Linked DNA regions of Canis lupus familiaris. The protein of the gene in region 1 interacts with the protein of each later gene in a biochemical or structural test. Links are inferred from orthologs where the notes say so. Each region holds a gene or a part of one and is shown in the gene's direction. Other genes may lie near its edges.

Evidence for each region.
Region 2: the proteins of RALA (region 1) and EXOC2 are reported together in a solved structure, tested with the Homo sapiens proteins (2 studies listed by BioGRID, with this or other methods). The link is inferred for Canis lupus familiaris from reciprocal best matches to the Homo sapiens genes RALA and EXOC2.
Region 3: the proteins of RALA (region 1) and PLD1 form a complex in vitro, tested with the Homo sapiens proteins (2 studies listed by BioGRID). The link is inferred for Canis lupus familiaris from reciprocal best matches to the Homo sapiens genes RALA and PLD1.
Region 4: the proteins of RALA (region 1) and RALBP1 form a complex in vitro, tested with the Homo sapiens proteins (3 studies listed by BioGRID). The link is inferred for Canis lupus familiaris from reciprocal best matches to the Homo sapiens genes RALA and RALBP1.

Annotation. Positions count from the first base shown.
Region 1 is NC_049239.1:10,201,814-10,209,396, reverse strand, and holds the start of RALA (ras-related protein Ral-A), read left to right. Parts: upstream 1-3,426; 5' UTR 3,427-3,655; intron 3,656-7,583. UniProt on the Homo sapiens protein: Multifunctional GTPase involved in a variety of cellular processes including gene expression, cell migration, cell proliferation, oncogenic transformation and membrane trafficking.
Region 2 is NC_049256.1:2,368,987-2,376,342, reverse strand, and holds the start of EXOC2 (exocyst complex component 2), read left to right. Parts: upstream 1-2,478; 5' UTR 2,479-2,574; intron 2,575-3,234; exon of another isoform or gene 3,235-3,354; intron 3,355-3,482; exon of another isoform or gene 3,483-3,506; intron 3,507-7,356. UniProt on the Homo sapiens protein: Component of the exocyst complex involved in the docking of exocytic vesicles with fusion sites on the plasma membrane.
Region 3 is NC_049255.1:36,167,408-36,173,984, reverse strand, and holds part of PLD1 (phospholipase D1), read left to right. Parts: intron 1-1,158; coding exon 1,159-1,276; intron 1,277-2,900; coding exon 2,901-3,125; 3' UTR 3,126-6,577. UniProt on the Homo sapiens protein: Function as phospholipase selective for phosphatidylcholine. Implicated as a critical step in numerous cellular pathways, including signal transduction, membrane trafficking, and the regulation of mitosis.
Region 4 is NC_049228.1:75,539,142-75,546,520, forward strand, and holds the start of RALBP1 (ralA-binding protein 1), read left to right. Parts: upstream 1-2,735; 5' UTR 2,736-2,873; intron 2,874-3,186; exon of another isoform or gene 3,187-3,330; intron 3,331-3,363; exon of another isoform or gene 3,364-3,398; intron 3,399-7,379. UniProt on the Homo sapiens protein: Multifunctional protein that functions as a downstream effector of RALA and RALB. As a GTPase-activating protein/GAP can inactivate CDC42 and RAC1 by stimulating their GTPase activity.

The DNA of each region.
Region 1 (7,583 bases):
TTAAGTTTAAAAAAAATTAAGCCTGGCTGAATTTTAGATTCTGCAATCAATCATAAGCCAGAAATGTCCATATTATAAATACATCCTGGCACAACTGTCATATCAAGCTGGTAACCACGTATCAAGTACTACAGGGAACAGTGCATTTGAGGCTCAAAAGTCTGACTTTGACTCTGCTACTTGACAATTTGTAACCAGTCTTTAAGTCTGCTGAGCCTTTTTTTTTTTTTTAAACAACGTGTGCCTCACAAAGTTGTTGTGAATACAAAATGAAGTAATATGTTAAAGGTATCGTGGATATTATAGACAATAACATGTATTTTGAGTTGCTTCTCCATCAATAGTGACAAATTGCTAATAACCAACTGCTTTCTTATCTGGCCAATACACCCAGAGGGTTTTGTTGTTGACAGTTGTTACTATATGTGTAGTTAATGTACCTTCATATTTTTATAAATTGGCATATGTGTATAAAAATATGCATATTACATAGCCATGAATGTTTAAATGTGTTTACATATGCATATACCTTTCAAAAAAGAAATAATGAAGCTATTAATCTTTTTTAAAAGATTATTTATTTGAGAGAGTGAGCAAGCAAGAGAGCACAACCGGGGGGGGGCGGGGTTGGGGGGAGAAGCCGACTCTCCACTGAGCAGGGAGCCCGATGTGGGGCTCTGTCCTGGGACCCCGGGATCATGACCTGAGCCCAAGGCAGACACTTAACCAACTGAGCCACCCAGATCCCTATAAATCTACTAATCTAATGGGCAAAGCTTCATCTACTGCAGGGTAGACATTGGACAAAACCTCATAGGCCTATACATTTTTTATTTTGTATTTCTGGTTAATCAATGATGAGAATGACAGATAATTCACAGGAATGCTTCCTGTTTCAGACAAACATGTAACTGCAGGTAAAACTTTTTATTCTATAGGGACATGAGTAATGCTTTCATAGAAAATTCCAGTTATATGACTACAGTAAACTAATGACTAATTCTAAAACAAGATTCTGACAAAAGCATACCTACCTGTATATGTCCAAAACACAGATTAGCTATAATAGCAGTGAACATAAGAATTAGTTACTAAAATCTTTTACTCTTTACTTATTCTATGTTTAATAGACAAGGTTTGATCATAAATAATGAAAATTAAACACAGGAATAAATCTAAGCCTATCTTTTTTGTTGTTGTTGTAAACTTAAGCCTATTTCAAAAACAGAATCCTTCATGTTCTTGAAGTTGCCCAGGCAGCAAATTTAGGAATGCTCATGAGTTCTACTGGATATTAGTGTTAATTATTAATAATATATAGTTACAATTATACCCTTTCATCCAAGTACCTCAAAGAGCTCTTAAAGCATTAATTTGTTATTTCTTATAATATCTCCGAGAGGCAGGCCAGTAGAGGGTTATTATTATCTCTATTTTACAAAGAAACTAGGGCATGGAGAGGTTAAGTGACCGTGCTAGGGTCATATGGTGAACAAAGAACATAAAGGGGCCTCGAGATCATTGTTCTCATTTCCAGTTCAGTATGGTATCCATTAGCTGGTTGTTAATACACCTACATGTATTTCCACTCTAAGAAAACTGAGAATAATATATTTGAATAATCTAAGAACTAAAGGCGAGAGTCCCTCGTGGTTTACATTCAAAAGTGCCAAATAAAAACCCATAGTCTTTGGTTTGCTGTTGCAGCTCTTATTTATAGGGGTTTTGTTATTTGCAGCTTTCCGAAGTCTTTGCTGAAAACGACCCATTCTATTTCTGCTTTCAGGTAGGTTAGCTTGGCTTTCAACAGCCAAGAAGCAGTTGAGACAGGCTGACTAATCAACTCGAGGTTGACCGTCATTGTGTTCCCATTGCTCACTTTTCTGGAAGTCGACCTCCTGGCTCTCCATTCGACAGGTATTTGTGCAACCTCCCGTCACAATCCTTTGTGGCTGCTTTAAATAAGCTGTTTATCGCCAATGATTAAACTTAAAAACTTTTTTTACGTTAACAATGGCATTCCATCTTAGGAGTTTGTGCTGCTACACTAGCTAACATGGCCATATTTGGGTTTTCTGTAAGCCTGACCTTTCTAGTCTTGACCAGGGAGACATTTGGGTGTTAGCATGTGTGGATGGACATGTACTACCAGACGGGGGATTTAAAAAGGTGATTATTTCAGCAATCTTCCCACAAGAAGGTAAGGAAAAGGAGTGGTTTTGAGACTGTTCAATGAGAGGAGACTGCAGTGGGCTTGGAGGTGGGGATGCGAGCCTGTGGTGTCCCTGACCTCAGCCCAGAATTTCCCCAGAGCTCTAGACACAGGCGGCAACTGCCAGACCGCACTCAATGGGCCAGGTCCAAAATGGCACTCCCTGACCCCATCCCCGCCATTCCCTATCTCATTTTGGTAGATCTTACCCTCACCCTCCTCTAAAAGCAAAATAAGGCATCATTATTGGTACTTCCAGGCATCATTATTGGTACTTCCAGGCATCATTATTGCTTCTTCCAGACATCATTATTGCTTCTTCCAGACATCATTATTGCTTCTTCCAGGCATCATTATTGCTTCTTCCAGGCATCATTATTGCTTCTTCCAGGCATCATTATTGCTACTTCCATTCGCTTACCGAGAATCTGCCCCCAGCAACCAACTGCAATTGGACGCTCACCGCTACCCACACAATGGCCCCATCCTTTCCCTAGACTTCTGCGCCGGCCCCTCGTGCACAGGCCCTGTGGCCCCACTCCTCCCCTAAAGCTGTCCAGGGTCACTCCTCTCCTCCTTGCCTCACCGAGGAGTGAAGACATTTGGTCCCTGCGTCTCCATCACCTTTGTCCCCAGCAACCCAGGCTTGACCTTTTTAAGTCCTGGAATCACTGCCCACGCTCCGACGCGCGATTCGCCGCGTGCCGCATGTCCTCTTTGTGGGGACGTGGATGCGCCCGCCCCGTCCCCGGTGCTGGTGCTGGGGGGGAGGGGCGGGGGGCCCTGACCTTGAAAGACCCGAGGCACCCGCGGGTCGTCCGCTCCGCCCTCCGCAGACCGAGGCCCCGCACTTCCGAAGCCCGCCAGCCGGGCGGCCACCCGCCAAACCACCTCCAACCCCCGCCGCCGAGAGCAAGATGGCGGCCTCCGCGTCCCCTCCTTCCCCGCGAACCCCGCCCGGGCCCCACAAGAGAGACGAGGACGCCGAGATGCGGGCACCTCCGCGAGGCCTGCGGCGACCCCCACCTCGCCGGGCGCGGGGGGCCTGGGTAGGGCCGCCCGCGGGGCAGCGCAGCGGGGCGACGCCGGCCAGTCCGCGCCCCGCCGGCCATTGTTCTCCAGCCCCGGCCCCCGGCCCCCTCCTCTCGGCCCACGGACCGGAAGTAGTTCCCCAGCCGGCCCCGCCCCGCTCCCCGGCGCCCCGGAAGTGATCTGCGGCGGCTGCTGCAGAGCGGCCAGGAGGAGGGTGGATCTCCGGAGAGCGGAGCGCCCCGAGTCCTCCTCCTCCTGCTGCTGCTGCTGCTCCCGCTCCTGCCGCCCAGGCTCCGCCGCCGCCCGTCGGACTCGTCCTCCTGCCGCCCGCGGCGGGGAGCCTCCCAGACGACAGGGGCCGAGCTCTGTCCGCCCGAAGCCCGCGGGGCGGCGGACCGGCTTGCGGTGCAGGTGAGCGATGCCCGCCCGGGCCGCCGCGGGAGGGGTCGGGGCCGCGGGGCGGCGGCGGCGGCGGCGGCGGGGGTGTGTCCGGGCGGCGGCGGCCCGAGGCCCAGGCTCAGGGCCGGGACGCCGAGATTGCACGTCCCGCGTTCCGCCCGGGAGCGAGCTGCGGGACGAGCCCGGGCTGGGAGCGGGGGCCGGGCGAGCGCACCGCCGGGGGCCGGGGGCCGGGGGCCGGGGGCCGCGAGCCGGGGGCCGGGAGCCGGGAGCCCAGGGCCGCGAGCCGGGAGCCGGGGGCCGCGAGCCGCGGCGTGGTCCTCCCAGCCCGGCCTCTCCGCGAGCCGGCCTCGTCGGAAGGTCACCCTGCATCTCTGGCCGCCGCGCCGAGGTCCCCGCCTGGGCGGTGCCCGCGACCCGGGGGGACCCGCCGGCCCCCGCCGCAGTCCCCGCGCTTCACTCCGCCCCTCTCCCCTCCTTCCCTTTCCTCCACTCCGCGCCTGTACTAGAGCAGTTGCTTCTGAGGCATCTCCGCCAGGGTTTTGTGCCAGTTAAAGCAATGGCTTTTTCAGACTGAAGTCCTTAGGTGCTCCGCCTTGAACTGCACAGGTCTGTCTGCCCCTATTAGCATCACCTAGCCTGTAAAGCGAGGGAGAGAATATAGGTTTTTTTTGGGGGGTTTTGTTTTGTTTTGTTTGAGTGAGGGGGTAATTCCTCTTGGAGATTTGTTCCTGAAGGAGTGGAAGATGTGATTTGTGGTTTGCTTTTAGCCTGGGTGTCTGTGTGTAAGTGGGCAGGGATGACAGCACAGAGAGGTGGCAGTGTTGTTTCAAGGTTTAGGGAGAATTAGGGAGTTAACTGGCTTCTGCTGGGAAACCTGAATGTCCAGGCTTGTGCGAGCTTATCCAGGTGTCTTCGGGGTTGTGTGAGATCTCCAGTGCCACGCCCGACGTGTCAAGCTGAAAAGCACCCAATTTGCAGATTGTGGTCGCTGTGTGTGTGTGTGTGTGTGTGTGTGTGTGTCGAGGGGTGGGTGGGTGGGGGGAGTAGGGAGGCCTTTGTAAAACATGTGCCCTAAGTTAATTTTTGTCCTGAAAGTACATTACAACTTTGGTCATCACGTTCCCTTAACTCATATAACAAAATTTGTTAATAAACTCGCAGTGGACGGCCTGTTTTTTGTTTGTTTCCAGCTCCTTTATTAATATATTTAAATGTATATCTTACTCGTTTCTGTGTCTGTGAATACAGTATTATTGTAAAATGATTCTTGTGACTCTTCAGACATTATTTTTAGGCTTTGAATTTTTTCAGGGCAGGAACCGTGTCTTATGCATCCCTGTTGCTCGCAAGTGATTACTGGAACATAGGAGCTCTCCCGTATTTCTTCACTGAATGAATGAATGTGGAGATGATGCCACAGCTGCCTCAGGAGTCATTTATTTCTTGGGTTTTCTGTTGTGTTCCAGTTTCTTGGCGCAAAGACTATGCTTTGTCTTAAATGTTTTTTTGGCGTAGTGAAAGGACAATTCAAGAAGAATCCTTTGTTGTCCTTCCAAAACTATCCTCCCCTGGAAGGTTAAAATTTATATTTAGGGTGTTGTGATTGGGCAGTGTATTCCAGTCTTCAATAATTGCCAATTAAGCAAGTTTATCCAGGGTTATTATTATTATTTTTTTAATATTTTATTTATTTATTTATTCATGAGAGACACAGAGCGAGGCAGAGACAGAGGGAGAAGCCGGCTCTGTGCAGGGAGCCCAACACGGGACTCAATCCTGGGTCTCCAGGATCACGCCCTGGGCTGAAGGCGGCGCTAAACCACTGAGCCACCTGGGCTGCCCATATCCCGGGTTATTAAAGAGATTTCCTAGTGATAGCTTATGTTTGGAGGTTGATAACCGTAACTTATCTTAACCAAAAAGAGGAAATTGGGAGTCACCACTGTTTGGAAAACCGTTGATACATCCCAGAATTGCTTATAGTGGCTTATTTCTCCCCTGGGTATGTGAAATCCTCTCACATCCTGATAGGACCTTGGCATGATTTACCAGTAGCCACTTTCACATTTCTTTGCAGAGATCCAGATGTTCCCTAATGTGTCTGCTGAATATGCAGTTATCTGTATCACTTATTTTAAAGTAGTTTCGTACAATCCTTTCTTTGCAGGGCTTTCAAGGGAAAAAAAGGGCTAATTATAGGGAAGAATCTTGTTTACCATTTGTGTGGGGGAATAATTTTTGTCTGTAGAAGGTTAGGTTATTTTCAATTTAGAGATCCACCCCCCCACCCCACCCCCCCCAAAAAAAAAGTGCTGATACCTTCTTTCCTTTCCGAATGTCTGGTTGTGGTCCTGTACTGGTTTTCCGAGCTTAGCTTCTGCGGGATATGAATGAATGTACCAGAATCACTTCTTGTATATATGTGTGTATCAGTGTTACCCACACTTGTAATCCTTAGTAGATGGGTGGCAAGGACAATCACTTTTGATACAGTATATATTTTTAGTGGAGAAAAACATTATGATATAGGGAGACAGTTTATGGTTTTTCTTGTTTTATAAAGTGTTTTAACTCTTAGACATAGTGGGAAGTCTGCAGTTTCTTATATCAGCAACATCACCACTGTACAGAGGTCAGATTTCTCTTTTTTAATTCAGCAACCGTCTTGGTAATAACAATCCGTATACACTGATTGCCTGCCACACACTGTGATAAGAGCTTTAGTTCTATTATTTTTAATCTCCACAGGACCTCTGTAAGATAGGTAGTTTTTCCATACTTCACTAAGGCTAAGTGAAGTGATTGGCTAGAGGCTGGAAGCTAGTATTAGGAGAGTCTGGATTTGAAAGTAATGATTTCTGAGAGCATTGCATATTGCACTTAATCCTAAAAGGCTCAGGAAAAACAAGTTTCTGATTGAGCTGAGCCTCAGGAACATCGATCTAATGATCTCAGCACTCTTGACCATCAGGTGGGCCCTGGGGTTACCCTCTTTATCTCCAGCTTGCCTACAGATACCATCCACTATGTGTGCCATGATGAAAAAGTGGTTGGGTATGATTCAGATAGGTGTCCTGGAGGAGTAGAGTATTAGGAACTCAGCAGTTGGTGTTGATTACTGCTTTTTACCTCTGAAATACGTGAATGCTCCCTACTTGAGGGGACTTTGGAAAACCTATTTTGTAGTGACCTTTTCTGAAATCTTGTTTTTAGTTCTTTCACTAAATGACATGGCGGGGGTGGGGGGGGTTGTGGGGGTAATTGTGAAGAGTGGTAAGAGAGGTAGAGGTATCCTGGGTTGTTTTTACCATTTCAAACCATATGTCATTTTCTCTTTGGGTTTAATATAGAGGCTTAAAGGCGACAGAGCTCTTGTAAAGGTCTAATTTCTGTTCAGTGCTGGAATTCTCTTTACTCTTTCCAAGCCTGTGCAGTTTTTTTGAAATATGCACTTTTAATGGGCTTAATTTGAAGAATGTGTTCATCTCTTGGTTAAAAAAAAGAGGGGGGAAGAAAAGGTATGTAGCTCTAAGTAAAAAATGGCTCATTCTCCAGCCCCCATTAGTTACACTTATTCTTTGTTTTATTTCTTTAGCTCTAAGACACCTCTCTTACTACCTTATTACACTTAAAAGGATTTGGTTACAATATAGAAAAAATGAAATTAAAGTTCTATGAGTTTTAAGAGTCATGTGAGTAAATTTTAGAAGATAATTTGAATCTTTGATGTGATTATACCTGAAGGTATAATTCCTCAACATCAATAGGGTAGTCTGTGCAAGCCCAAAACAGCAAGCTTACATAAAAATATTAGGATACTATTCTTAAAGGCCTTCAGTTAGAATTCTCTATTAGATTTAACACCCCTGGGATCCCTGGGTGGCGCAGCGGTTTGGCGCCTGCCTTTGGCCCAGGGCGTGATCCTGGAGACCCGGGA
Region 2 (7,356 bases), on another chromosome or scaffold:
GCAGCTCCTGACCTCTGTACCATGGGGCTCACCCCGGGCCACCCCCTCACCCCACATAGGCCCTAGCTCCTGACCCCTGCACTGCAGGGCTCACCCCTGGCTGGGCCTCCTTACAGGCCATGGTTGCCACGCAGCCGCTTACTGTTGTCCTGGGAAAGGTGCCGTGAGTACCCTGAGTTCCAGAAAAAATTACTCCCTGTCTGGATTTTGTCCTGATGATGAGGGTCAGTTTTTGTTGCCTAAATGAGGAGAGACCTTTCAGTTTAATAGAACCTTCTATTCCCCTGGCAGGGAGGGTACAGCCAAGGCCCCAGCCTGGAGACGACGCTATTATGGGAAATTCTGCTATTATCTGGTGAGGAGCCAGACAGTGATGCTGGCCAGGGCTCTGCGGGCAGGGGACACAACCCCAACCCCAGGATGTGTACCTGGGCCTGAGAAGTGAGCTTGTCCGGAGATGGCACAGGCCTCTGCAGCCGGCAGTGCACGCACCGCCTAGATGGGCCGCCCCAGGGGATCCCTGGGTGGCTCAGCGGTTTGGCGCCTGCCTTTGGCCCAGGGTGCGATCCGGGAGCCCGGGATCGAGTCCCACGTCAGGCTCCCGGCATGGAGCCTGCTTCTCCCTCCTCCTGTGTCTCTGCCTCCCTCTCTCTCTCTATGTCTATCATAAATAAATAAATAAATCTTTAAAAAAAAAAAGAAATTATAGATGGGCCACCCCAAAGGGCCGCGGGTAGCTCCAGGCCCACCTGCTGCTACACCTCCCACAGGCCTGCAGTACAAACACTGAACAGGGTGGTCAGGTCATTAAGGGCCCTTCTGCCCTGGATGCTCCCTGGGGGCCATTCACGTGACACACAGAAATTGGCCAAAGATGCATTTTGTGTGAGGCACGGTCGGAGTTCTTAGAGCCACAGATGGCAACCCCTTCACCACCCTTGTGCCTCTGCCGCGCAGCTACCCTCCTTTCCGTTTAGCTGTAACTGGTTATTCCAACAGGTCTCAGACTTTTGGGAATGTCTAGACCAAAAGCAGACAGCGTAAAGTCATGTGGTCCCAGTGGCAGGCCACCTCCTCCAAGAACCTCGCCCTGTGCTCAGCTCCACTCGTGTGCCTCTGGCTGCTTAGGGCCCTTGGGGGAATCCCTTCTGAGCCTGGAAGAGGCGTCTGACCTCAGTGGTTTGGGGCTCTCCTTATAGTGTGCAGTGGCTTTCGTGTGCCTACGTATTGCCCAAACAGGGACATTTTGGACAGTGAAAGGGGCTCTCTTGTTAGGCCAGGATAACAGACAAAAAACAGAGTTCTCTCAAGCAGAGTGGGACATGGGATCAGTTAACTTGACATCTTCTGCAGTCTGAGCGGCCAGTTCCAGGACAACCAGAACAACCCCTCTAAATACCCTGTCACGGGGGCTGAAACTCCACCGTCCTACATAACGACGTTTCTTTGTAGAGACTTCCAGCTCCTTCGCTCTCTGCGGCTTCTGCCTTGTAAAGCCGAGCCCTCAGTTACGACTGATTTCCTACTAGTTCTCTGTCCTGGCAGAGTGGCCCTAACAAACCCAAGCGCGCACTTGACCGCATACATTGCAAACTTAGGGCTGCACGTCCCAGGACGGCTTTCAGCCCTGCCTGGAAATCTTACATTTTCTTAGTCGTGTGCTTCACAGCATCAAGGACAAGAGGTCTCATCCTTTCTCTTCACACCTCCCGTGCCTCCCATCCTCTGTCTCTACCAACGATCTTTACGCATCTTGTGCTAAGAAAGCAGAAGGAATCAGAAGAGCGCTCTCAGTTTTCCGCTTTCCCTCCATTTCCAGCACTGCCTCTTCGGGGCAGGCCGCAGACATTTCTGGCCTAGGCTGCTGCAGGCCCCCCTAAGCGGCAGTGTCCTTCCTGTCGCCCCGCCGGGTTCAGCCTCAGCCCGAGATCCTGCAAAGGCGCGCCCCTGGCTAATGCCCTGCACCGCCACGGCCCATGGAGGTGCTCCCCGCCTTTGACGTCACCAGTCACCAGCTCTTGGGACCCTCCAGATGGGAGCCTGGCTGTCTCCGCCACGACCTCCGACGGCCCGTGACCTCGGTGCGGCCCCTGGCCTCCCAGCGCCCGGGTGGCAGCTGCAGCCACCTGCCGGCGCCGAGCCCGCCAGAAACGGACGAGAGTCATGCTGGGCCCTGCTTGCGTGACCCCGGGGCTACCCTGGGCCCTCGGGCGGCGTCCTCCACGCCCGGCTCCGCTCTAGCTGCACCGCACAACCCTCCGCCCAGCCAGCCCGCCCGCCCGCCCCGCAGCCCCGCCCCGGCCCCGCCCCAGCCCCGCCCCGGCCCCGCCCCAGCCCCGCCCCGGCCCCGCCCCCGCAGCTCCGCAGGCCCCGGCCCCGCCCCCAGGAAGCCGGCCCCGCCCCTCGCGGGGAGGCTGCGCCATCGAGGACTCGGTGCTCGACTACCGGGCGGATCGACGGCGTCGGCGCTCCCGGCGGGCGGAAGTGAGGGCGCGGGCGGGGGGCGGCCCCGGGTCGGTCCGCGAGGAGCGCCGGCGCGTTGCGGTGGGGGCGTCGGGGCGGCCGCGGCGCCAGGTACGTGCTGCCTAAGGGCCCCCGCGGCTGGGGTGAGGGCGGGGGCGGGGGCGGGGGCGGGGCGGGGCGGCTCCCGGAGGGCGGGGGTGGTGCGCGCCGCGGGGCCCGCCTCCTGCGCTGCTGCGGGGCCCGGACCCTGAGCCCGAGGGCGCGGCGCCCTGTGTCCCCCCTGGGCCCGGGCAGCTGCTGGAGGAGGGGGGCCCGACCCGCCAACGGCCGGGCACCCGCTGGACCCCGGAGCCACCCCCACCCGCCCCGGGCACCTGCTGGAGGCCCACAGCCCTACCCCCCACCCCCGACCTGCCCCAGGCACCTGCTGGAGGCCCGGAGCCCCACCCGGGCACCTGCTGGACCCCGGAGCCCCTCCCCCACCCGCCCCGGGCACCTGCTGGACCCCGGAGCCCCTCCCCCACCCGCCCCGGGCACCTGCTGGACCCCGGAGCCCCTCCCCCACCCGGGCACCTGCTGGACCCCGGAGCCCCTCCCCCACCCGGGCACCTGCTGGACCCCGGAGCCCCTCCCCCCACCCGGGCACCTGCTGGACCCCGGAGCCCTTCCCCCACCCGCCCCGGGCACCTGCTGGACCCCGGAGCCCCTCCCCGCCCCCGGGCACCTGCTGGACCCCGGAGGCCCCCCCCCACCCGGGCACCTGCTGGACCCCGGAGCCCCTCCGCCACCCGCCCCGGGCACCTGCCGGCCTGGAGCCCTGACCCACTGCCCCTCGAGTACCGGTGGTCGCCGTCCCCATCCCCTCGTGCCGCGCAGTCGTTACCGTGCCAGGTGGGAGAATTTATTGGCGGAGAGCGGGTGTGAAGCCGGGTTGCTTAGTTGCTCAGATGGCATCGCGTACAGGTGCACCGAGCCTCGTCTGGGCGCCTTTGTTCGCTGCTCTAAGCGTTCACGTTTACTGCCTGATTTAATCCTCTCAAGAGGTAGCTGCTCTCATGTCCCCACTTTACAGATGGGGAAGCGGAGCCCGCAAGGTGACGAAGCTGGTGTGTAGTTCCGCAGCCTCCTGACTTCCTTTGAGACCATCCCCGAGTCTCCAGGCCTGCACAGCCAAGCACGGGGTCATCTCTTAGGGAAGCCTGTGACGCTTTACTCGGTATCCTAGGATTTTGTGAATAGCTGTCCAAGAAACAGTTCTTGAAAAGCTTGTCTTTAAACGGAAATACACTATTCTTAATTGGTAATTAAGAATTATAATTATGAGAATTATAATTATATGGATCTCAATTGTGAGAAAGTTTCTTCTTTTTTTAATAATTCTGAGTAAATTTATAAGGAGAATTTTTTTTTTTAAGATGTTAAAGAAAACATCTTTAACAGATGAGAGAGAGAGGCAGAGACCCAGGCAGAGGGAGAAGCAGGCTCCATTCAGGGAGCCCGATGCAGGACTCGATCCCGGGTCTCCAGGATCAGGCCCTGGACCGAAGGCAGGTGCTAAACTGCTGAGCCCCCCGGGCTGCCCTATAAGGAGAACTTTTAAAAATACTTAAGAATGAGCCACAGCTCAGTTAAATCCTTGGGATGCGCTATGTTGAAAAACTAGTTCTACCTGAGGTTGTGTGGCTCAGTCTTCTAATATATAATAATATTTTATTTATAAAAGCATATTTTGGCCAGGCTTTGTGTCACTGCCTCTACTAACAAAGAAACTAGAAGCCAAAAGTTTCCTGAGGATCATCTGTGGGTTAAAAGTTGTTAACTCAAGGGGTCGTAATAGAGGATGATGTGTGCTTGCTACTCAGATGTTCTCTTCTGTTTACACAGCAGAGAAGCAGAGGATCCCCCAGCGTAATTTGGAATGACTCTTGGAGGTTTCAGAAATTTCTTTTTTTTTTTTTCATATCAAACATTTGATTGTACTGAATATAATTTTGGACTATTACTTTTGAAAAGATGATTATTAACCTGCTTAGCTAAATTTTCATTCATCCCTTTAATATTTGCGAGCCTGTTATGTATGAATCTTAATGGGAAATGAAATTGGCGTTCAAAAAATTTTGCAGAGGCATTCTTCTAATAAAGGACTTTGGATGATTTCTAGTGTCCTGGCAGGATAAGGCCAGTTTTATAGTTAGTCTTTTAAGTACTTTTCCCACCCATTTTTCGATTTATTCATCTTTACGTAGCCAGGATCCTAGTGCAGCACCTACCGCACTGCAGGAGCATAAACGTTTTACTGAGTGGAGGAGTTTTAGGCCAGTGTCGAGTAGAGAGGATTTTGAAATCGACGGGCATGGGAACGAACGTTGATCAGTCTGCTAAGCAGAAGGCTAGGATGGTGAGGAGCGTGTCCACGGATCTCCTGGAGCGCCTGGTGAAACTGCACGGTAGTCGTGTGGTTATTATCACATGGTTCAGTGTATGTTTATGTTAATTTAAAATAATTATTCTCGATACAAACACACAAACTTAAAGTAATTGCAGGGAAATATGACTCCCAAAGCTCTGTGACACCCATAGTCCTCCTTGGCCCTCAGTGTGAAAGTTACGGCATCAAAGCCACCATTGACTGGTCTGTGAGCTACCACCCACCTGCTACGCAGCTCGGGCTCCGCCTCTGGTCCTCAGTGTCCTCTTTCCTGTAACCACGTTATCTGTACGAGCTCTTCCCTGGTTTGAACGCTTCTAGCTCAGTGATTCCTGCAGCCAGCTAGCACTGTTATATCCATGTGTTGTCCTAGGGGCTATAGCTGTTATTGGTATTTACATAATCTGTCAAAAGGCTAAGTAAGTTCTGGCTGGACGGGGGTTAGCCTTGGTCATTTTTCGTCTCCCAGTTTTACATATGCCTGGCACATTAGAAATAAAATATTAGGCTAGATTCAGAGGGGCAGTTTTGTGCTCTCGATTGAACAATAGCTAAGAACTTGACTATATATCAAGTGTCCGTACAGCAGGAATTCAGATGGGGGAAGTTTCTGTTGGAGTTGGGACAGAGGTCAGTCCTTGATGGGAGGATCTGGCCCTTCGTGGGGAGGGCACAGGAATATCTGGGTGGTACACCAAAAACAAAGGCCCACAGGCTGGTAAGTAAGTGCGTTTTGGATTATGGAGTGCCTTGGGGGTAGGGCAGAGGAGTTCGGAACTGATTTTTTATGCATTTCACCCCCCAGGAGAACTGTATTAGACTTGCTCAAAAGCTTCATGAGCATTCTTTAACTTGATTCTGTCGGGAACGTTTAAGATGACCAGCTGGATGTGGTGCATCCCAGTCTTGATTTCTGGTTTTGATTTTAATCATTCCTTCTACTTACGTTTCCTTTTTAAGTCTGGGAGCCAGTCGTGGAAAAAACAGTGGACACTGGGGTTTAGGAAACGTGGAATGTGGTTAATTAGAGGGGAAGCTGCATAAGGTGGATCCAAGCAGGCCCCTAGTGGTGCCTGGCACCAAGCGGGCATTCAGTAGTCCTTGTGCAACGACCAGCGGGTTCTCCCATTGCTACTTGCTGGCTGTGCTGCCGTTGGCAAGGTTGGCTCATAGTTTCATCCGTGAGGTTTGATGAAATTTTTGAGGCCTTTCCCACTTGATATTGGCGGGTGTATGATTTTTAACTTCCATTCTTTTATAATTTTACTGAAAGACAAGACAAGACTAAAAGTCAGGAATATTTGGTTTTAGTTTAATTTTAATGAAATCCCCATGTGATTGACATGATGTGTATCTGGATAAATGAGAGTCTCAGCAGGAATCAGAATTCATGCCAGATGGTTCACATAAGGAGGTTTTAATAAAGGGACTACTTGGCGGAGGTGTGGGCGAGGTTAGGTGACAAATAAGGGGTAGTGAGGCCCAGAGAGAAACCGACCAGTGGGAGGAGCAAGAGGACAAACTGCAGCCTGCTGGGAGCTGGGGCTGCAGCGAGGGGTGTGGCTGCTGCCAGAGGCTTCCGGGGTGGGGTGGGGTGGGGGGCAGGACTGTGGCGCCCCCACCCCAAAAGAGTCCACTGCCGACTCTCTCTCTCCTTCCTAGCAGATTTCTTAGATAGTTGTTGATACTCCGTTTCTAACTCATCCCACTGCTTTCTGGTTTCAGTACCCATGATTCTATTGAAGGTTAAGGGCATCCATGACCTCCTTGTTACAAAATCTTGTTCTTATCATTTCCCCAATATAGTGCCTGGGACATAGCAAGTCTTAATAAATATTTGTTTTGACTGAACGAACAATCTGAGGGTTCCCCTATTCCAGATTTCAGTTTATCTATGTCTTTAACAAGGAATCCGGCACTGTACTCTCTTGAGATGCTAGGTGACCAATCTCTGTATAGATCCCAAATCTTCTTGATGACTAAACAAAGATAGAAATCAATTTTATTTGTTAATGACTCCTTCAGTATTGGCTATATGATTTTTCTGAAAAACCAAACACCAGGACTTTTTTTTTTCTGAAAAATTATGTTTTCTAAGATATCAAGAACTAATGTTTTGTTCACCCAATGCAAACCTAATAAACAGGGAATGGTAAGGGACATGAGTACAACTGGCAGTAGATGGAATGAATAATGCTGTGCTTTTACATGAACTACTCTTCCTTCTTTAATGAAGTAGTATATCCTCTTTGAAATTGTTGTTTTTGTTTCTGTTTTGGTAGAGTGATAGAAAAGGGGGTAGATTTGCACTGGCCTATTTCATTTTCCGTATGTCATCAATATCTGCTGGCCTGAGTTAGAGAACCAGCCGCCTTTAGGCCTAACAGCTTTTGGCTTTGAGTTGTAGTGAAGGTAGTTGTCCTTTGGCAAGACTTAGCCTGCTAAGACAAGAGATTTTATAGTTT
Region 3 (6,577 bases), on another chromosome or scaffold:
GTCACTCCTCTGCTCCAGTGTCTGCGATATGTCCCGGTTTCACTCAGTATAAAAGCCAAAGTCCTTCTAAGACCTATTTCCTCACTTCTGTCTTCAGTATAACACAAGCCTCTTTGATCTTCTTTGAACCTATCAGGCATGTGAGACAGGGCTTTAGACTCCATTTGAAATCTAGCTTTGCCAATAGTGTGTCTCCAGATTTAGCTTCCCGTCTGCAAAATGGGAATCATGTACTCTGTACCTCACGGGAGTGATGTGAAAATGGTTGATTTTGGTTTTTTTGTTTGTTTTGTTTTTTTACTTCAAGGCATTCTCTAAGTACAAGGGTCTTCATCATTTTCAAATATGACCTCTAAAACTTATCTTGCTTTGCTTGAGAATTTCTTATTGTTTCTAGTCCACTATCTATATATGATCAAGTCAGACAACATCTAGTATGTGGCTTTTTTTGCCAGGCACTCTGGGGATATGAGAGTAGCCAGGTCATGTTCTCTTAAAGGATTAACCTGCTGGATGTGCATCAGAGGCCTGTTAAAAAAAAAGTGTGTGTGGGGGGGGAATCCCTGGGTGGCTCAGCAGTTTAGCACCTGCCTTTGGCCCAGGGCGTGATCTTGGGAGTCCTGGGATCAAGTCCCACGTCGGGCTCCCTGCATGGAGCCTACTTCTCCCCTCTGCCTGTGTGTGTCTGTGTGTGTGTGTGTGTGTGTGTGTGTGTGTGTGTGTGATGAATAAATAAATAAAATCTTTAAAAAACATGAACCAAAATAAAAAATCAGATTCCCAACCAGCTGAGCCACCCAGGCACCCCTTGGCCTATGGTTTGAATGCTAACCCTATCTTCAAACTTCTCACTCCCTTAGGCCAAATTCCAAGGAGTCTCTTAGAACTAAATTCAGATCTATCTATCCAATAGTTAAAACTTTCAAGCATCAGAACAGCTTGGGTTTTCTTAGTTTGGTTTGGTTTGGTTATGCAATCAAGATTTTATACACGCACGCACACACAGTTTTAATGGTTTCCTTGGATTTTCCTTAGAATAAAAAAAAAAGAAAAAGGACTGCTATGGTTGAGTGCCTGAATTACATTACCATTAGAAACAATGCTTGCAGCAAATTTCTTTATCTCAGTTACTCATTTTGGAAGGTACTTGTATTGCAGGGTTGTCCTTGGCTATCTTTCTGACCCAAGTGAAAACATTCAGGATCCAGTGAGTGACAAATTCTTCAAGGAGGTGTGGGTTGCAACGGCAGCTCGAAATGCTACAATATATGATAAGGTGAGGTTTTCATCTCTCTCCCTACCTTTTTCATTGAATCACACCACAAAAACACGTCATTATTACTGTATATTATTGGTGCAGAGTAATGTTAATGGGTGTAAAAATCCAGTACATTTCCAAGTTGTAATAAAATACCGCTTTGTAGATATTAAAAAACAGAGTCAAAAAGTATCATGGATTATGGTGTAGAAGAGCCATTAGTGGCATTCTGATCTCTCATCTGACTGTGGGATCCCATCATGAGCATCCTTAGAAGGTGGTTACCCAGCCTTTGGACATGTCTAGTGACAAAGAGAAAAAAGGCAGATGGAATCCCAAAATGAGTCAGACCTGGGTTCAACCCAGCTCACCCAGCTGCTGGTGATACAAATTTGTGTGTAGTGATTTGACTTTCTGAGCCTTCCTTTCTTATCCTATAAAGTGGGCAAGATATTCATGAGGGTGGTTATGAAAATAAAGAATAGTTTTTTAAATGTATTTAGCACATAGTGCATAATAAATGGTATCCATTCCTGTGATGGAATTTATTAATAATGAAACACTTCCTTTGTTGGGCAGCTCTACTTTTGGAAGGGTGTTTTAAAACAAGCTCCATATGTTAGGGAGGCTAAATGTATCTTTTGCTAAGTTCTCTCCATGGCTTATGACAAAGAATGTAGAAGAGTTAAGAGTTGTCCAACAGTGGAATGAGTTACTTCATGAAGTAGTCAGCTTTCTCTCATAGAAACTATTCAAGCTGAGATCTGCTGACCATCTATCAGAAACTAGATAAGAGTGTGTTGTTCTTCTTCATGACTGCCAGCGTCCCTTCCAGCACAGAGAATTCATCATTCCTAATGAAACATGACAGTCTCCATAGCTTTACTTCATGCTGAGGACTCAAGGCCATGATCAAATAGGTCATGTGCATGGAGTCCTTTAAAATGTAATTTTAAAAATGCAGTGCACAGCCCTTGTTTGGATCCTCATGGGAGGAGAGGATAGCAGCTATAAAAAAAAAACATTTTGGGATTAATAGGATAAATCTGAATATGGACCATATCTTAAATGACTTGGAATTGGTTTTCTGAGGTGTGAGAATAATATTGGGGTTGTATAGGCACATCCTTATTCTCAATACATGCTGAAATTTCTAGGAGGGAAGTATTCTGGTATGTGAAGCTCATTTGCAATTGGCAAATTAAGTGTACAATTGATAACTTTAAGGTACAGATATGGACATTTTTGAAAATAAAAAACATAATATGCAGTTTTCCTCTTAAACCAGAACGTCCAGTGAAATTTGGAGAATTATTATCAAAAAACTTAACCTTAATGTGAAGTAACATCAGTGGAATTCCTGTACCACTAGCTTGACTTTATCACGACATCGATGACTTGTGTAAATCAGATAGAGGGATCAACCTATGATTTTTTTTTTTTTTGGATGAAAGCAAATCTAGTAGTCTCTTTGTAGCAAATAAGAGAAGCAACTCTTCAGTCAGGTGTGTGCTGTAGCATACAACTACTACGTGTTTCATAAAGCAAAGATTTCATCAGTTGGAATGAATATTTTCCATAAAGGGGCTATCTTTTCTTTTAAACTTATGACCTAGTTTCTTCCTATTTGTGTCTTAATCAGGTGTTCCGGTGCCTTCCCAATGATGAAGTACACAATTTAATTCAATTGAGAGACTTTATAACCAAGCCCATATTAGCAAGGGAAGATCCCATTAGAGCTGAGGAAGAACTGAAAAAGATTCGTGGCTTCTTAGTGCAATTCCCCTTTTACTTCTTGTCTGAAGAAAGCCTACTGCCTTCCGTTGGGACCAAAGAAGCCATGGTGCCCACAGAGGTTTGGACCTAAGGGTTGTATTCGTTTGCAGCTCAAGGACTTCCTCCTTGAAAAGTACACTGCACACAGTGACTTTATGGAGATCCTCACAGCCACAGCCAGCCCTGCCTGAGGCACGCTTGTTTCCACCCTGTGGACCCTTTGGGTTGGCCGGGCAGGGCTGCAGTCCTACTGAGATAAGGACACTGAACATCAGGTGGGCTTTATAATTCCTCCTGTTTATCCTTGTGAAAAAGGGACCGTATCCTGATTGGTAGCACACGCTCAACAACTTAAACACATGCTCAGATTCCACGATGGACACCGAAGTGCCTTTCCTTTGCTAACAAGAATTTATCTGTACCTGTGATCTAGGTTGCCAAAAATTGTCAAAACCTCCTTATTCTTCTCTGACCCTCATTTATGCAGCCGATGACTGCTGGACCTGCCCTCACTTCATAGTACATGCAGACACTGTTTGAGACGCTGTGTATTACTAGAAGGCGTCGTGATGCTGCTTCCGGGTTCTTCCAGGTGACATGGGATGCCCCTGCCCATCTGGTCCTGAAGTAGTAGTGTTCACCCAACCAAGGATGTTCCCTTTGCAGGGACCGAAAGGATGGGGGCAGACATTCTGTACACAGCAGCCCATGACAGGCGCGTCTGATAACATCGACACTATAGATCTTCACACCACAGAGCAACAGGAAGGAATTAAATTTGGTTATTGAGGCAGAGATTTCACGTTGCCTCCAAAGGCAATGACAAACTATGTTCTTTTGATAAGGCCCACCCGATCAAATTTGAAAACACGTGTTGGATATTTCATTTCACGCCAACTGCTAAAACTCAGAGACCGAGCATACAGGCTTCAGAAGCCTCCAAGGCAGCCATGGAGATCTGACCCAGACAAAAGAAGATTCCTTGTAGTTGTATAAAATTTCCTATCATCCTTAGCTTCTGGATTGATTGAAATTTGAATTTCAACATTGGAAAATCAAGCCACTGAATGCAAGTTGTCTTTCAAGAGAACCAGAGGCTTCATAACTCCTACCAACTTAATAAGTAGGAACCTAACTTTGACATTCAGCTCTCCAGCTATGTTACCTTCTTTAAGAAAAATTAATTGATTGCAAAGTATGTGCTACTTAACTGGCATTATTAAATATGCATTAACATTCCACCAGGCTTCCAAAGAAGTTAGGATCTTCATTAATTCACATCGTCCTAGTCTATGAATTGTTCTAGAAACCCATTTTTTTTTCCTTTTTGAATAGTAGTGTACCCTTTGGTACACCATAGCTCTAATTTTACTGAGCAGAAATATTCTGACAGCCTGAAGAGCTGAGGTGGGTTCCCAGAAGGCCCGTGCCCATGAAACATGATGTAGGTGCACTGATGACATGTGTGTATTACCGGGTACGAATCTCATTGGGGTCATTCCTCAAAAAAGCAAGGACCCAATCCTTGTTTTCATAGAGCTTGGGAAACATTAAACAGGAGCACAAAGTCAATAATCTGGGTGAGTAGGAGAGAGTGTCACACTCAGGAGAGGACTTTGCAGCGAGAGAACCTTTCACAAATGAGGTAGGACTGTGCTTTATGAATAAATACTTTTTCAGCTGAAGATGGTGAAAAGACTTCATTGTATGGCAGCTGTAAATAAGACATTTGCTACTGATGAAGTTTAAATTGGCATTTAAAGTGTTGAGTGGATGTGGAATACCTAAGGATTTCTTATAGTTTACTTTTAAATATTTTTAAAACTAAAACAGTCAACACACTGGCTTTTGATTTTGTTCAAAATGCTCTCCTAATACCATGAAAAATAAAAGCCCAAAAGGTCCCCTTCCCTTTAGAAGAAAAAACAAATCACTTAATATAACCTCTCCCCATTTTATAGATGAGGAAACCGAGGCCCAGATTGGTTGAAGGTCTCACTTGAGTTCATCCAACTGAGAGATGGTGGAGGTAGGACTAGTGAAATTGCTGTGGCCCATTAGTGGCCTCTCCCTTGACTTTGTCATTGTCCATGAGTGAGGAGAGGCAGGAAACAGATCTCAGGCAGGATATCTCTAGGCTCTTTTGAACACTGTGATATCATGGATTTGAGTGCTCATCTGTGTCCCCCCTGCTTGAATGTAAGCTCCATGGGGCAGGGACTTTGCTATGTCTTGTTCACAGTGTATTTTCAGAGCCTGGAACAGTACCTGGTACATTGGAGGTACTCAGTAACTGGTGGGTGAATAAATGAGGTGGAGGGGAGAGCTAACGGAATGACAAACTTACAGAGTCTCAGGCAAGAAATCTTCCTGTGGTTTCTGTGGTAAGTTTCCTTTCTGCTGCATTTTTTTCAAAGGCAAGATGTTCTTCTGCAAAGATGAGAGGCTGCCAGCTTTACCTGGGTGGATTCTATGGAAGATTCTGTGCAATAGTTACCTATTTGCAATAGCAGCTTACACAGGGCAGCGTTCTGCAAAAGTCACATGGGGTATGGACACGAGGCATACTGCGTGGCCTGATTACCCATCATTTTAACCCCACTACCATCTGATAATAGAAGTTAGAACAATTTATCTTTAACGTTGCAATATCTGATATCAACTTTAAAATGCAAATGATTCAAAGCCTTGAAAAGCTATTAGGAATCTGGTCGACATTTTTAATCGATTGTAATCTCCTGAAATGCCCCTCAATGCTGTACCCAATATTCTGGTAATCTCTGGAACAATTTTTGTTTTCAAGAAAGAAAAATTCTGTGATTGTACAAAATGAATGGTAGAAAGTAGAATAGCTGTTCAAACTACTCAGATTGTCCAAGCTTTGTTGTTAGAGGATACTCAACATCGCCGGTCAGGAGCAGGCATTTGCTCCGTATCAAGTGTCCACGTGGGGATGCGCCCTTCTTTGGGATGTTCTTAACTCTCAACTCTAATGCATCACGCAGAGGCTTGGAGAGGTTACTGGTTTTGTGTTAACAGCACCCTTGGAAGGAAATCTCATCTGTAGGTAGTCAAAACCATGAGCCGTTCATCTCTTATGTACTAACTTGGGAAATTGTAATAGCTCATGAATGAACAGTCTCCCAGCTGAGAGCAGCAGGCAAAGCAGCCTTTCTGCAGATGTCAGGCCACAGCCAGACCAGACCTGCCTACCCATCGGAGGAACCTGCACTTCCTCCTGTATCTCCTCGCTCCTTATTCCCTTGGCCTCTGTCCCCAAGCAGAGCACCTCCTGATTATGTAATCCATTTTAGAGGACAAGAAAAGAGTTTCTGAAAAAATTAGGCCCCTACAACAAATTTTCAGTTTACCTTACTCTTCTAAGCGACTGACAAAATATGATTATTTTTTGACAGAGGTAATCGTCTTTTTAACATCCCTGATCTGATATGGCGCTTGAGCATTTTCTGATGTCTGTCACCCTATGTAGCAGGGGGCAAAGAGGATCCTTCACGTCTTCTCATCTCTCTCTTGGATAAAATG
Region 4 (7,379 bases), on another chromosome or scaffold:
GTAAATGACATGTTTGCATGCTGAGAATACAAGTAACCTTAAGAAGATGAGAGACCATTGCAGAGAGAAGCTTAGCCATCCCAATTGCCCCAGATGAGTCCAACTCCCACCTAATCCACCAACTAACTATAACTGCAAGAGCAGTAGAATAGCTTAAAGCCACTGAGTTGTGGGGTGAATTGTTGTGAAGAGCAAATGTGAACTCTTACAGTTCGGACGCCTATTTTTGTCATGAGCTCTAAATAGTGTATCTTTTATATGATATATAAAACTATAACATTTTATTTAATATTCATTATTTATTAAATATTAAATTATAATCTATTTATTTAACAATATAAAAATAGGACATTTCAACTATGTAACAGTGCCATGACCCAGTGAACTGTTTAGGTGCCAGTCCCAAGGATACAGGCAACAAGCACTGGATTTTTTTACTCTGTTCATCCAAGGGTGGTGTAGTCTTTAGAATATTTAATCCAAGTCTCATATTTTTAAAAAAAGCATTATTGAAGTATAATTCTTGTACCATAAAATTGACCCTTTTAAAGTGTACTATTCATGAAGGATATTCTATTTTCTTGTGATGTTGTTGGTTTTGTTATAAGGGTGATTGTCCTCATAAAATGAATTGAGGAGTGTTCCTTACTCATCTATTTTCTAAAAAGGTATTGATAGATTTGGTATTATTTTTTCCCCTTAAAATATTTGATAGATTTCACCAGTGAAGACATTTGATCTGGCCTTTTCCCTGTGGGAAGATTTATATTTACTAATTCAAGTTTTTTACCCTGATATATGTCTATTTGGATCTTTTCCTTTTCTCTTCAGTTAGTTTTAGTAATTTGTTCTCTCCAGGAAAGCCTCCATTTTCAACTATTTTTAAAATTATCAGAATTATGATGCTCATAATATTCTCTTAGAATACTTTTCATTTTTGTAAGGTCTATAGTATTCTCTCTTCATTTCTCATTTTGGCAATTTAGGTCTCTTTCTTAGTCTAGCCAAAGGTTTATCAATTTGATATCTTCAAAGAGCTGACTTTTGGGTCTTTTTCTCTATTTCCTTATGCTTCAGATTTTTTGATTCCTATTTTTATCCTGTTTCCTGATTTCTACTTAATTTAGGTTTGATTCACTTCTCTTTTGCTACCTTCTTGAGATAGAAGCTTAGATTACGGTCTTTCTTCTAATTTTAAGCACTTAATGCTACTAATTTCCCTCTAAGCACAGTTTTGGCTGCTTCCCTTAAATTTGATATGTTGTATTTTTGTTTCCATTCAGTTCCAGGTATTTTCTAATTTTCCTTGTGATTTCTTCTTTGTCCTATGGATTACTTAAAAATATTAATTTCCAGTTATGTAGGGCGGGGGTTTCTCAAATTTGTTTTTGCTAATTCCATTGTGGAAAGAGAAAATAACTTGTATGTTTTCAGTCCTTTAAAATTTATAGAGATTTGTTCTGTGACTTGCCTTATGATGTATACTGGACAATGTTTCATTTGTCTGAAAAGGATGTATATTCTGCTGTTGGGAGTTTTCTGCATATGTCAAATATTTCAGTATTGGCTGATACTGTAATGAGGGTCTTCTATATCCGCCTTTCTTTTCTCTTGTTTATTGCTGAGAAAGAAATTTGAAGCCTCCAACCACAAGTGAATTGTCAATTTATCATTTCAAGGTCCATATAGCGATTTCACAAAGGGCTCAATAATGTCCAACTCAGGCCAGTGCCTATCCCTCGTCCCCATTAATGGAGCAAGGAGCACTTGTAACTGGCATCGTAAACATGCCCATCTCAGCGGTCAGCCGACACTCTTCTGTCGCCAGAGGGTCAAAAAAGAGCTCCTCAAACTGTCAGAAAACAGACCACGTCGGTATCTAATTCCAGGAGACTCTTCACCTTCAGGCTTAGGGGGATGAACTTCACTGGGTAGAAAACGCAGGGTATGGGCAGCCCGGGTGGCTCAGCGGTTTAGCGCCGCCTTTGGCCCAGGGCATGACCCTGGAGACCCAGGATCGAGTCCCGCGTCGGGCTCCCTGCGTGGAGCCTGCTTCTCCCTCTGCCTCTCTCTCTCTACCTGCGTCTTTCATGAATAAATAAATATTAAAAAAAAAAAAAAAAAGAAAGAAAACGCAGGATACAAGGGAGACTTGTTCTCAGATCTGTTAGCTTATCTGAGAGGTATAGCGCAAGACAGGTTACATAGGTTAATCGACATTATACAATGAATCTCTCGAGAGTATCGCACGTAGGAATGGAAATGATTGGGAAGAGCATTTAACCCAAATCATTCCCCTAATAATGAGCCAACCTTAATCAAACAAGAACACCTCAAAGGACCCGACTTCCAGCCATGCATTAGCAGAATAATTCTTCAAGCCTTGCTTAGGTTTCCCGGGGGGGAATTCAGTCATTTTCAGCCTTCCCTGCAACTCAAGTTATTTCTCTTCGCAACCTAACCACGCGGCTGGGCAGTCCTAATTCAGGTGTTCCCTGCAAACGTCGAGCCAAAGAGGGCGGCGGAAGACGGTCCCGCAGCCCAGCTCGAACCGAAGGCTGGCCCTTGCCAATTCAGGAATTCTCGGCGGGGTCTGCACACACAGTTTCACGCAGATTTCCCCTCGGAGGCCCACGGCCGGAGTCCCCACCCAGCCCAAGGCCGGGAGGATGCCCCACCCAGGGGCAGGCCGGGCCGGCCCCCGAGGCCGGTCTAACTGGTTAGGACGGCCGGAGCCTGCTGGCACAGAAGGGCTGCACTTCGGGAGCTGAGGAGCAGCCGGCCAGAGCGTGCAGAGAAAAGCGCTTCCCTTTCTCCAGACCACCGGAGGCGCTGCCCGCCAACCCGTCCTCGGCGATCTCCGCTCGTGGTAGGTAGGTGCCGCCTCCCACCCAGTCCCCCAAGACCGGGAACTGCGCACGCGCCCGCTGAGCCCTCCGCGGCGCATTCTCTCGCGCGCTCCCTCAGTCTCCTCAGCGAGCCTCTGGGCCGAAGTAGGCGCGGTGCTTCCTGGGTGTTGTAGTGTGGCTCCTCGACGGAGGGCCCTCTTGTAAACTGGGCGCTGGGCGTCCGAGAACTACGCCTCCCAGCGTGCCGCGCGCGAGGGCACAGGGCGTTCGCCCTTGACGGCTTTAGCCGTCAGCGCAGAGAGGAGGACCCAGGAAGCCGGCAGCGGCGGGAGGAGGGAGTGCGCTTGCGCGGTGGGCCGGCTCGTCGCGTTCTGTCCCAATCATTGTAAACAGGCGGAGGCTGGGGCGGGGTGGGAATGGGGCGCCCGAGGCCGGCTAGGGGCGCAGCGCAGGAGGCGCCTACGGTGGCTGCGGCGGCACGGTGAGCGCGAGGCGGCGGCGGCGGCGGCGGCGGCGGCGGGGCGGGCGGTCGCGCGGCGGCAGGCGCAGGTTGGTGGCGGGCAGCGGCGGCGCGCAGGGGTCGTGGCGGGCCCCGCGCCCCGGGGGAGCCTCTCCTGCGCGCCCCGCCGCGGCGTCTGTCAGGCGGCGCGCGGGGCTGGCGGTGGGGGTGGGGGGCGTGGCTGCCCGAGTGCGGGCTCTTCCCCGGCAGGCTGCTCCCCGGGGGTCGCCCGGCTGCCGGCCGTTCCTCCCACTTGCCGGCCGGGCCTCCCTCGTGGCGTCGGCATTTGGGATTCGGTGCTCTCGGGGTCCGGAGGGGGGAGTCGGGAGCCGGCCGCTCCCCGCGGAGTCCCCAGGCCTCGGCAGCGCCGGGACGGGGGACTCCGCCTTTTATATAATCACTCTTTCCTCATCGCCCCCGGAATATTGAGCGGCCCCAGGACCGGCCCGGTGCACCGGGACAAGGCTCCCGGGGTTTCCCTCCGCTGGCACGAAGCACCGGGGCTCCTTTGGGTGCTGCGCTCTCGCGTTCAGGTTTCCCTGCGGATGGACGGACAGATCTGGAGTTGAGAATTCCTTTTACAACTCAATTTCAAGTATGCTTGTGCCAAAACGCTCTTATTGAGGACACTTTTTTTTTTTTTTTTTTAAATCGTTGTAGGAATGGAACAGGTTTTTCAAAATACTCCACACCTCAGTCTTAACCTGAAGTAATTAAACGCTGTTTTGAGTTTTGGGGTTCATTCCTTCAGGGCCTCCCTCTTGGCCAAGCAGCTTGTTTCCTCTAAGGCCTGGTTGAGTCTTTGAAAGTAGTTAGAATGTTAACTCGAGGTAGTGTGCGTGTGCCTTGTAAGAGAGGCACAGTCGTCTGGACGGGGAGTTCACACATCATCCAGCCTCACCAGAAGAGCTCTCACTGAATACTTTGGAGTGGAGTGGGCATGCTCGCTTGCTGCAGCACTTTCCGTAGCCTTCCATCATTCTTGGCGGTTACTCATCAAGTATTTAAGTGGTGGTAAGGAGCACGCTGACTTTTGGGTTGGTGATCATGGAGGCAGCCCTGCTAACGCAAGCAAATGGGACTGTGAATAAGAAAAGTAACCTCCCTTGACGCCTTTCCGGTTGTCTTGGTGATTTGCTAGTTCCTTTCTGAGTGTCTTTCTGAAAATGAGTAATTGCTGTAAACGGTACTGGCAGTAGGAGAGGTAGGAAGGAAGTTAAAGTGGTTCCCACTTTTCAGAGTGACCCATAGATTTACGTGGGTGGACTAGTTTAATAGTAACTAACAACCGAGAAGTAATTCTTTGAACAAAGTGTCTCGAAGCAATGTGACATACTTGGCTCTTTTTCAAAATAGTATCTCTCATTTTAGATCTTATTTGGAAAACTAGAAGTAGTATCAGAGAATCAATACCAACTTTAATTTGCACCCTTATATTTGCACAGCTGTTTGCTTGGCAAGGGGAGATGGGGCTTGAAGGTATTCAAAAGTATGTTCTTTTTTTTTTTTGTTGTTGTTTCTTTTAAGATTTTATTCATTTATTCATGAGAAACTCAGAGAGGGAGAGAGAGGCAGAGACACAGGCAGAGGGAGAAGCAGGCTCCATGCAGGGAGCCCGACGTGGGACTCGATCCCCCGTCCCCAGGATCACAACCTGGGCGGAAGGCGGCGCTAAACTGCTGAGCCACCCGGGCTGCCCTGTTCTTTCTTTTTTTTTTGAAAGAAAATTCCTGATAGAAACTTTAGTATATGTGGAAGGAATAAAGAAGAACGCGGATCGTTTAGAGGAATTACTGTGTTAGCAGGTACTATGGCAGGTGAGGAGGACTTACAGATGGATAAGGCTGTGCCCCTGCTTTCTGGGTGATAAGACTTTATCTCTTACTTGAACTGTTAGCAAGTACAATATGTTTTTAAGATTACTTAGAGAAAGTATGGGGGTATAGAGGTGTACAAAGGAGATAGTGATCAGTTTCCTAAGGGAAGAGAGAGATGGAGGAAGGTGGCAGTGGTAAGGAGAAAGTGTGTACAGGAGGGGATGCAAACAGTAAGAAAGGACATTTAGGTAGAAGGAACAGTGTGAGCAGAAGCATGGGAGTCTCCGCTTCCATAGTGAGTTGTAGGATCTGCAGGTATAGCTAGTGGGCAGGGGCCAAATTATGGATGGTCTTATACACGGTTGAAGTAATTTCAACTTTTGTCTTACAAGCAAATAGAAGTCACTGAGACAGGATAGGGAAAACAGAGGCCTAAGCCAGCTCAGCCCATTTTAACTCCCTCCTATGTGTCTAGTGTTACATTAGGTACTTTATGCTTTATGTCCTTAAACTTGAAGGTTTAGGCATGACTGAGGCAGAAAATGAGGAACTTAAGGCAGAAGGAAAGCTGAATGTGATTAGAGAGCGTGGAACACTTCGGAGAGCTGGAAGCCATTGTCTGCAACTATAGCATTGGATTTATGGTGGTGAGTTGCACAAGAGGAGGCTGCACAGATAGATCCTTGAGTATTGCATGACATTCTAAGGATTCTAGAATTTTTTCCCCTAGAATATAGATAATAGAGTTTATGGATTTTAATCAGGAAAGAGTCATAAAATATTCATCTTAGATCATTCTGGTATTGTAGAGTGCAGATTTCAGAAGGGATGGAGGGAAGATACGGCAGGGTGCAGAAAGACTGGTTAGGAGTTTTTGTACTAATTGAGGTGACAAAAAAAAAAATAATTGAGGTGGCAAGTAAGGTCCTCAGTTAAACCAAGGCAGAGTCAGTGGAGATGCGAAACAGTAGATTAATAGCACAAACGTTTAGAAGGTAGAATTCAGAGGATTCAGTTACAGTTGGATTTTAACTTGGATCATTGAATAGACAGTGGTAAACTGCAGTTGACCCTTGAACAGTGTGAGTGTTAGGGACACCAGCCCTCCCCTTGCAGACCTCCCCCTTGCAGTCTAAAATCCGCATATTACTTTTGACTCCCCCAAAACTTAACTACTAATAGCCTATTGTTGACTGGAAGCCCTACTGATAACTTAAGGTCAATTAACACATATTTTTATATATTATGTATTGTATACTATATTTTTACAATAAAGATAAAGAAAATGTTACTGAAATCATAGGGAAGAAAAAATACATTTATAATGCTGTATATATGTGTGTGTGTGTGTGTGTATATATATATATACATATATATATATATATACACACATATATATATATATATATATATAAACAACCAAACACATTTGAGTAGACCCACACAGCTCAAACCCTTGTTGTTCAAGGGTCAACTGTACTGACACAGGGACTTCAGGAAGGGGAGCCAACTGGGGGGAGGAACAGTATTTCAGCTTTTGGATATGTTGAGGAGTTGTCTATGAAACATCCAGGTGAAGCATCAGCTATAGAGTTGGGTGTGTGGGTTTGGAGTCGAAGAGAGAGGTCTTGCTCTGAGGGTCAGCAGGCTATATTATAGGTGGTAGCTGAAATCTTTGATTTCTGTAATACCATGTAGGAAGAGCTTACCAGTGGAGTGTAGTTCTGGAAATAGACAATGGAGAATAACATTTAAAGCCAGATAGAGGAAGAAGACTTGGAAAGGGAAATTCCTAAGTATTTAGAGATGCAAGGAAGTCATGAGAAAATGTCATATAAGCCAAAATGTAATCATTTCAAAGGGAAGCTATGCTTCACTACTAACTCTCCAGAAAAAAGAAAAAAAATTTAAAATAGGAAGCTGTACTTCAAATGCTTTGAGAACTTGAGTAAAACAAGGATTATTAGGAGTCTGTTGAATTTGATAACTAAGAGCAGTTTTGTAACCTTCTACTTAATGCTACCATTTGGGGAAGGGGCTAGTTTCTTTGAATTGGGAAGTTAATGGGAGATCAGAGAGTGAAGAAAGTAAATGTGGATTATTTCAAGAATAAACAAATCTTAGCTGTGACAGGAAGACTGGAAAGAGGTGTTAGCAGATGGTAAAAAGGTTTAAGAGAGTGATTTTTAACATGGCAAAGACTTGAACCTGCTT